Linked DNA regions of Caenorhabditis elegans. The protein of the gene in region 1 purifies or fractionates together with the protein of each later gene. This does not show direct contact. Each region holds a gene or a part of one and is shown on either strand. Other genes may lie near its edges.

Region 1 (4,975 bases):
ACGTAGAAGATGAACTTTCTTCGAAAACAGAATTTTCATACAGAAAAGCCAAACAGTGACTTCCAATGAATTGGGTCCACGATCTACGTAGTCACCAAGAAAAAGATATTGAAAATCTGGTGGGCGACCAACTTCATTTGTGAATCTGTGTGAATGATTTATTTTTATTATAACTTCGATAAATTTTACTGTAACAGATCTCCGAGTTGTCCATGAATATCTCCAAAAACAACGACAGGAGCAATTATCTCAATAAGGCATGGAAGTGGCTCCAGAATCTCCTTTATCTTAAAAAAAAAAGGTTTTTGAAATTTTACTTCTTCTGTAACTTACAGTCTTCAATACTTCTAAAATATCACTATCAGAGAATCCCTCCAATGTCCCATACTTCTCAATTCGAGCAATCATTTGACGACATAATTCATGAACTTCTGTGTTAGCATGTTCCTATAAAAATTTCCAAAAATGCAAAACAGTATAGCAAGTTAATCCTACTGGGACCAGGAGTATAGTCTAGCTTTAGCTATCCAGATTAGGGTTTTTACGTGCCTATTTCATTCCTAGCTACATGCCTACCTCATACCTGCCTATATAAGCTTATATCTACGTGCTTACTTCATTCCTACAAACGTGCATATGCCATTTTTGGCAAGTTATCGGTTGTTTTACCCAAGCTTATTTGAATCGGATTTTAATGAAAAAGCACTAAACATCTTTAGGTACTTCAATCGTAAAAAAAATGAAGAGCCTCAAGGGTTGAATCCTCTGTAAAAAATTTCTTACCGTTTCAAGCATTGTTCTTCTTTTGATATTTTGCTGGCCAAGAACAAATACCTTTTGTAAAATAATTGTAAAGCCCAAAAGTTAAAGGTCAATTTCATTTTTTCCTCGTTAATCTTTTTACAAAAAGTTCACGCGATCACACATTCCTCAATCATTCTTGTCTGTCAGTGGAATAGCACGTGAATTGTGAATCCTCGATCGGATTGAATTGTGACTGGCATAACACGAGATATCACATAAAATTAGGAGTTATTAGGGATGATAAAGAATGTGAAATAGTGTAAGGAAGATGTAGAGACGCAGACAACTCTCGGACATTCGACCTCAAATCACGGACCTCCAGAGCATAGACAAGCTTAACTTTGTATCATTTGTTCAGCTATCATTTATCAGAAGTTGTTTTTTGTACTGTTTCTGAATAAAAGTGAATCCTCTTTTCTTGTAAAATTTACATTTTTAATTTTCTAAGTCTACTAGACTAGTAGTACTAGTAGATCATTTTCAAAAATAGCCAACATCAATTATGAAATTTAAATTCAAATAATATCAAAACCCATAAATACATTAAATTTTCTGAATATTGTATTTACAGTCCCCTACTACATAGCATATGTAATTAATGAGATCCCTCTGTTTAACATTTGAATAATTCGGACCCGACATTAAGTAGATTTTTCTAAAAACATTTCACGTTTTGAAATGTTGATAGAATAATGAATGAAACAATCTTGAGAGTTGGCTTCAGTGGAATTTCTTTCTAACTTGTATTACCCGGCAACTTCTCATTTAAGGTACTCGAGAATTCATAAAAAGTTAACGATATACGTCGAAACTACTCCTAATTTGAACAGTAATTTTCTTCCCATTTATTTCAAAATGAACATTGAAAAATTAAATATTTTTCAGATGATATCATTATCACTGGTACTTCTTCTGCTGTTTGGCGTTCGGTGCTTTGATTCAGCAGGTGAGTCACTTCAAAACTCGTGAACAAGTTTTGCACATGTCATGCGTTGTTTGAGAAATGCGAAGGAAAAATTTCATACGTAGGTTTCAGATGCAACAAAGTTCAAATATATTGAAGCATCTCGAGAACCATGAGGTGTTTTGTAAAACTGAGCTCAAGACTTGTACATAATCTTAATCAGAATAGACATAAACAGTGGCAGACTTTCAAAAATTAATCTTTCAGGTCAAATAAACGACGACTCACCATTATTCATTAGCACATCAATTGATAATTCAATGAATTTAAAAATCTTGGTGGAAAAGAAACCATATTTTACGGGCTCTGTTACGGGTTACAAGCTCTATTATACAAATGATTCAAGTCAAACCAATGAAGAATATGAGAAATGGATGCATCAAGAAGCACTTTCAAATCAGAATTCATATAATTTTGTAATTGATGCAAATAAACATGAAATCGTGTCAGGAGATGTATATCGAGTCAGAGCAACTGTTTTCTTCAATAATGTGGAAAGTGTTCCAACTGGAGTTATTTCAATCAATACAAGACAATCTATTCCAAAAGCTCCATTGATTGTTAACACTAAAATACTGTACAATTCATCTGTACTCATTTCATTTGTACCTGCTGATGATGTCAACGCTATCGAGGTTAGTATGGATTTGTAATACTGTTCTTTTGAATTAAACTTGAAATTGATAATTGATAGCTATTAAAATACTTTTGATTCCAGAACTATACTTTGATGTATAAACAAATGGAAGCGGAAGAATGGAAATCATTGAATTTCAAATCTGATTTTGATGGAAAGGTGAGATCATGGTTTAAAGGTGGAGTTGTGCCAACGGGGGAAATGTTTGAATGTTCGCATGCTTCCATATAAAACGACCAATTTAAACTTTTCAAAATTGTTTTAAATGTTTCATAACAGTCAAAATGAACAATTATTCAAATTTTATCATAAGTTTGGAAGTCGACCAAAAAAAAGCTCTACAAGTTATGCATTATTCGTATTCAAACATTATAAAGCTTCAAAATAATTTGTGAACTTCGTCGATTTTTGATAATTTTGGGTGTTTGGGAGTATTCAAACTTACTTAATTCTTTTTGGGGACTTTTTATTATTTGAAAAAATTTGGAAAATGTTCAGGTTCTTCTCGATGGCCTTATTCCAAACCATACTTATGAAATCAAAATTTTTGTAACGGGTGGAATAGTACAAGGAACTCCGTCAAATTTGGCAACGTTCACAACAAATTCAACTGCATTGGCTCTCGTAAAAACAGAACCAGATGAAGAATATACTGCTGATCCTCAAACAAATGAACCATTGAGTATTACATGTACTGTTAAATCAGTCAGTAAAGCATCAGTTTTATGGAAAGTTAATGGTGAGAAATTATTTTTTAAAAAAGTCATAAATCAATTTAAGACTCCACCGATCAATAAAACAAAGTTTTCAGGAATAAAAGTATCCGTAGATTCAAGTTTCTACACAGTTGTCACTTCAGTTCATGAAGATTTTATTGAGTCAACAATTCGTGCTAAATCTAGAACTCGATCTGCAAAATTCACTTGTTTAGCTACAAATGATGCTGGGGACTCATCAAAAGAAGTTAATGTAAGAATAAATATTTAATTGTGACCAGTTCAGCATGAAACAAACCAAGTCAATATACATTTCAAAATTGCAATTTTGTAGGTAATCATAAAAGGACCCGGAAGTCCTCCGTCTGAAATCACACTAGTCGCAGAAAAAAGAGGTTACACAATTTCATGGAAACCTCCATCACATCCTAATGGAAAAATTACGGTGAGGTATATTAAAACACAGAATTAATCAATAATAACTGTTTTCAGAAATATGTAGTATATCACACATTAAATCGAGAAGATCCATTATCCGATTGGCGAAAAATTGATTTGGATGGATCTGAAAAGATGGTTCGAATAATAATGGATACGGAAGAAAGTTTTTATGGAAGAGTTCAAGCTGCAACTGAACTTGGTCCTGGAATTATTTCTGATATTGTGGCAATGGAAAGAGATAGTGAGTGAAATCTAAGTTACATAAATAATCAAGTTTATTTAATTTTCAGCTCAACCAATTTCCGTCGAGTCTGACCTTTTTGGAGTGTCTGCAACCACAATGGTGGTGAATCCACGAGAAACAGTGAGTTCATTAATTAATTTTTAAAAAAATCAATTCATTTCTTCTATTGTCTCAGTTTTGTATTCCAGCTCTCGATTCAATGTACTGCACGTGGCAAGCCTCGTCCATCAATATCAGTTGCAATAAGTGATCGAAAAAATGCGAGTCAGGTGGAAGTTGATGTTTGGAGTCGTTTACAAGCCACGTCATCGGCTGGAATTGTATCTGCAGTACACAACTTTTCAGTGCTTACATCAAAATTCGTGCACTGTAGGGCAAAAAATTCAGCAGGCAGCAATTATTCTACAATGGAATTGAAAGTTGATAGTGAGTTAAATAGACACACTTCATAAATTTTTTACTTCCTTGCATAAATCTGAAAACTATTCAGAACCAGGAGATGCTCCAACTCAAATTCAAGTGCTCAGTGTCAATGCACTAGACGCTCTCGTAGTGTGGCACTCACCACAATTTCCAAATTCTCCGATAACAGTAAGTATTTATTTTTGTCAAGAGTTGAAAATAACTAAAAAATGAGATTTTATTAAAGTACAAAAATAGTGAAAATTTTGATGCTTTCATTTGATTTTTCCATATTAATACTCAAAACTACTTCAGAGTTACATAGTTCTTGTGAGCAATGATGATAAAGAAGACAAAAGTACATGGCTTCAATATGAATCGAACGCTAAGGAAACACAAATCAATAGGTAATTTGAAATAGTCACATTTATAACTTTGGAAACATTTTCAGAATGCTTCTTCCAACTGGAAATCTGGAAAAATCAACAGAATATTTTGTATGTGTTCGTGCAAAAAATGCAGCAGGAATTGGTCCAACAAGCAGTTTGATATCATTTATAACGTTGAATGGAGGACCTGATAGTCCTCCGGATAACTTAAAAGTATTGATAAATGAGGCAAATCAAGTGATTGTTTATTGGAATACACCTAATTCTACGACTGAAGTTACTGTTAGTTTTTTAGGCTCAACATCAAATAAACAATAATTATTCAGGGATATCTGATCTACTACACCCGAGATCTGAGTCTTTCAAATGATGATTACA
Region 2 (4,960 bases), on another chromosome or scaffold:
AAACGAAACTAAAGATATTATAGCGGAATATTGCGAGAGTGGAAAACTGACGTCATACAATTAAAAAGTTTCAATTTCATGTTAGAGTCACAAGAAAGAGGGAAATATCACAATGTGGGAAAAATGATTATGAAATAAACTGCAATTATTGATAAGCCATTTACTTGACGAGCCATCCGGTGCAACGAATGTAGTGCTGCCCACGATCAAGAGCTGTTAACGATTGAATATCTTCTGGAGTCAGAGCAATATCGATTACTTTGAAGTTTTCTACGATTCTTGATGGGGTCACCGACTTCGGTACGATACCAACATTCTGGCGGAGAGCCCACGCGAGAAGTACAAGCTGAAAAAAGGTATAATTGTTTGAATACAGTCTGAGAATTAATTAAACTTACAGGAACTGATGTATTGTGCTTCTTAGCTAATTCAACGACGACTGGATCTTCAATTAACTTTGGTTCGTGTCTTGCAAGTGAGGAGAAAGCCTGTAAATTGATTATATAAAACGAGTTTTCCCCAGAATATCGAAACTAACCTGGAAGAAAATGTTTTTTTCCTTGCAGTACTTCTGAAGTGGAATTCTTGCAAAATGTGGATGATACTCCAGTTGGTTAGCACATGGCGGCACCTTGGCGTATGTCTTGAGCTCTTCCAAATGCACAATTTCATAGTTTGAAACTCCAATGGAACGAACTTTGCCAGCAGCTAAAATAATAAAATTAATGAAAAATCCAATAGATTTCTGATTTTCAAACCTTTAGCCTCTTCCAGCACTTCATATGCAATTTTCCGGTATTCCGCGTTATTCACATCATCATTGTCAGAGTCATTCGGTTTTGGATAGTGAACAAGATACATATCGATATAGTCGGTTTGAAGAGATTGTAGAGATTCTTCGACAAATCCACGGCAAGCTTCTCGACAATTTTTGCTTTCTGGGAAGAATTTGGATGTCAGGAACACATCAGAACGAGATAATCCATGCTTAGGCAGGAGAATCTGTAAATTTTGAATAAAGAAGATTTGATTACAAAGAGAATGTAAACATAATTTATCTTTGAAATAAAAATATAAAAATTTACCTTTAATGCTTCTCCTAATTCCTTTTCATTCAAATAATACTTTGCCGTGTCAAACATCCGATAACCGGCAGTGAGGGCTGCATCAATTGCTGGCGGAACATTTTCTCCGGTAACTTTGTACGTTCCGAATCCGACGAATGGAATGTTATATCCGGAGTTGAGCTTTTGTGATCCTCCTGGCACATTGGCAAACGAATCCGACATTTTTCTCTGAATTTGAATATATAGCACTGAGAAAATTGCAAAAAGTGCAAGTTTTGAAAGATTAGAAGTTCTAATTTAGAACGATAAAATGGCATATACCGACTGTGGACTAAGAATTGTACAAGAAAAAGAAAGATGCAAAGGGGTTAGAGAAAGAGACAACTTGTCGATGCGGCCTGAATCGAGGTCAGTCGCATCAGGAATGAGCGGACAGCAAAAGTTATTCCCTCACTTTTAAAGAAGTAAAAGTGTTCTTTGGACAGTTTTCTTTAAGAAAAATAATCTGTGAATTTTGTTTCATTGGTGCCAGAGAAACTGATGTTTGGAATTATGCAATAAGCATGAGGATTATAAAAATAAAATTTGAAAAGAAAACTATACATTATTTGAATTCGAAATTATTTTACTTTAAAAGTTCCTTTTCTGTTTTACATCGAAAAAATACCGAAAATTTGGATTGGGCGAGACGCAGAGATTTGCCAGAGAATTAATGTTGGAAATAGCAAAACCTCATTGTATTGTGGTATTCAAAACACTAACGACAAGTTTGGAAAATTAATATATATATGAAACAACAAATAAAAAACGAATAGCAATAAAATAAATTAAAAAAAAAAACAAAAAACAAACAAAATTGGTTGATTATTTGGAATGGCTAAACAACACGCGCTTGCGAAATATCGGAGCATCGTTGGAATTGATTACGGTAATTTTTAAGAAAAGATGTCTGGAAAAGTTGGAAAGTATTATTCCTCCAGGAGCAGTTTGATATTGAAACAAAGGGTTTCAATAAACATGAAACCAAAATTCTATGGAATATAAAAGCTGGTTATTCACAGTGCTCCTCCATTAATTCCCCTCTATTCTTGGATACAACCTATTCTGCAATCTAATATCTCGGTTTAAGATATGGACAATAAAGAAATAAGAAGAACACTTGAGGACTATTTTCCTAAAGGGTTCTTGATCTCAGAATCATCAAAGTATGATTGTCATTTGGAAGACATGCATCTTGTCCTACAGCTTCTCCTAGCTACTCTGGCTGTAAATCCTGTTCCTATTCAAAATTCTTTATACGGTAACTATTTTCAGTAATAAATTTATCTCTGCTTCAAAATATTCAGGAGATGTCCAAGTTGAATGTGACTCGAGAACTATATCAGTTCAAATTAAAACTGAAAAACCATTTGTTGGGGTTATCTTTGTTAAAGATTTTGCGTCGGAAGAAGTGTGTACATCAAGAGGAACTGGAAGACTTTCAGCTTTCTTGGAAATTGAAATAGGATTATGTGGTGCACTGAGACAGCGAGTATTGAATCCAAAGGGACTTGCTGTTCGAACGACAATCACAATTTCATTTCACGTTAGTTATTTATAATAAAACATATTTCCTTATCGCTTTCTGTTTCAGCCATATTTTATCACAAAAGTGGATAGAACTTATAATTTGTTGTGCTTGTACCGGGAGAGCCAAGTCACTGTTGCAAACAACATATCCGTGGATGAAATCTCTACAATAAGCTATAATGTCAATTTGACAATGCCAACTTGTACTTATCAGGTGCGTCATAAACTAAAAATATCTCTTCTGGTTGGCTTCGTGTATACGTATAACTTTAAGATCCTTAGTGGTGGTCCGTTCGGTGAACCTGTAGAATTTGGTTTAATAGGTCAGCAGGTTTATCATCAGTGGAAGTGTGATAATGATAAAGGTATGATAATTCTTATAAAAGGTATGATTTAAAAAAAAATAAAAAAAAAAAAAATAAATAAATAAATTAATATTTATTAAGAGAGTGAGAGCTTAAGCTAAAAATAAAATAATTCCACCAAAGTGCGGCTTCAAGGTGTACTGTAGGATAGGTGTGGAAACTACAGTACTCCTCACATGCGCACGCAATTTTTCGCAGAAGTAATTATTTTATAAGATTGATCGTTTCGGGAGCAGGTTGTGCATAAACGTGCATACGTGGATGAATGAACACAGAATATAAAATTTAAGGCAACCAGTCAAATCATGGGACTAACGATTCTTAGTTTGTTTTCAGAAGACTCATTCTGCATGGTAGTTCACACGTGTTCTGTTGACGATGGACGAGGTGAAACCTCATTTCTCATAGACTCGAATGGGTGCTCAATTGATAAGTTTCTATTGTCGAACCTTGAGTATCCGGGAAACTTACTCGCTGGGCAAGAAGCTCATGTGTATAAGTTTGCTGATCGAGATGCTCTTTTCTTCCAGTGTCAGATATCAATTACCGTCAAAGAGCCAGACCAGGAATGCGTGAGACCAATATGTGAAGATGTAGAAGGCGGTGGAGCACCCGTTGTTGGGCCACCTCCATATGGTATGATTTCGAAAAATTTAGTGAACATTTGGCAAAAAAATTCATTTTTGACATTTTTTAAATCTCCTTATATGTATGTTGTTGGAATTACCAACTATCACAATAAAGCTATTCAGAAACTGTGACATTTTTGTTGCAGTTTTAGGGAAAACCCAGTTTTCACCAGTCATTACTTCGACGTCCTAAAAAGTGTTTTTCTGATGTTCTATTTTGAAAATTCGGTAATATACAAAAAACTTTGATTGAAATTTTCGAGAACTCTAACGTAATAAACACATTTCTAAATGTTTTCAGGTTTTTCTCAAAAGACACAAGTTTCTTTTAATCAACGTGCTAAACGATCAGAAACTAGCCTGGATGAGCAAATTACGGATGTTAGGACACGATTTTCTGTTAGCTATCATTTTGATATTCAAACAAATTCAATTGAAATTATTGAATCTTGTGTTTTATTGTCGACAATGTCTATTCCATTTCTCCTTTTCTACATTCTTATACTAATTTTGACATCAGTAGTTACAGTTATTATTTCTCCAAAAATATAGTTCATATCTTTAATAATCCCTTCCCATTTAAAACCACTGTTATTTTTTCGAAATGAACCATTTTTAATTAGTAGGCTATTTCAACAGAATCCATCACCGTCATTAGACGACGATGACAAGTGATTGATCACACAATCTAAACTGTGTGATTGATTTTCAAACTATTCATGTAATCAAGATAACGATTCGTGGCGTATTGCGGAAGTTGTAAAAAGTCGAGTTTCAGACAAAATTATTTAAATTAGTTACATAAGCTATACATACATGTTTAATTGTAACTCCTGACCTTCTCTCTACAAGTAAGTATATGAAATTTCATTCTTATTCTTCATTTTGAATGAACAATTTTAAAATTTGAAGCTTCTAACAACCATTGTTGCTGAGATCGTTGTGAGACCCACTCAGAAAAATATTGTGATCCTTTGAAGGGAAATATCAAGTTTTTCCGAAATTAGTATATTGAAACGATATCTGTATCATGAGTGGGCGGCAATTCAATTTTCAAAAATTCTAAAACTCGCGCAAATGCCAAACTATCAAGTTATTCATCATTTTTCGAATTGCTGATAAGAAATATCAAAATATCAAGATTGTTATAATTTTTAATGACAGTCATAACTACCTATTAATAATAACTACATTTTTTCAAACTTTCTGTCTATCATTTGTAAAAAAAACGAACTCTATAGCCAAATTGTTGAACATCTTATTACCAAAATTCCAAACTTTGGCAATCGCAGAAAATCCGTACATCGAAAATAAAAATGCTGTAAACCAA

What was found.
Region 2: the proteins of C27B7.7 (region 1) and cutl-1 fractionate together in Caenorhabditis elegans (co-fractionation; one large-scale study listed by BioGRID). This does not show direct contact.

What each region holds. Positions count from the first base shown.
Region 1 is NC_003282.8:8,905,360-8,910,334, forward strand, and holds the start of C27B7.7 (Ig-like and fibronectin type-III domain-containing protein C27B7.7), read left to right. Parts: upstream 1-1,683; 5' UTR 1,684-1,689; coding exon 1,690-1,750; intron 1,751-1,975; coding exon 1,976-2,403; intron 2,404-2,486; coding exon 2,487-2,564; intron 2,565-2,903; coding exon 2,904-3,144; intron 3,145-3,216; coding exon 3,217-3,374; intron 3,375-3,455; coding exon 3,456-3,566; intron 3,567-3,613; coding exon 3,614-3,803; intron 3,804-3,852; coding exon 3,853-3,926; intron 3,927-3,994; coding exon 3,995-4,232; intron 4,233-4,296; coding exon 4,297-4,397; intron 4,398-4,523; coding exon 4,524-4,615; intron 4,616-4,659; coding exon 4,660-4,879; intron 4,880-4,923; coding exon 4,924-4,975. Other genes in the region: Putative serine/threonine-protein phosphatase C27B7.6, read right to left, coding at 1-145, 190-287, 334-447, 784-795.
Region 2 is NC_003283.11:13,403,253-13,408,212, reverse strand, and holds cutl-1 (ZP domain-containing protein), read left to right. Parts: upstream 1-2,098; 5' UTR 2,099-2,198; coding exon 2,199-2,367; intron 2,368-2,413; coding exon 2,414-2,652; intron 2,653-2,700; coding exon 2,701-2,850; intron 2,851-2,910; coding exon 2,911-3,001; intron 3,002-3,337; coding exon 3,338-3,637; intron 3,638-3,931; coding exon 3,932-4,182; 3' UTR 4,183-4,252; downstream 4,253-4,960. Other genes in the region: F53F1.2 (NADP-dependent oxidoreductase domain-containing protein), read right to left, coding at 161-346, 399-488, 539-708, 759-1,002, 1,086-1,289.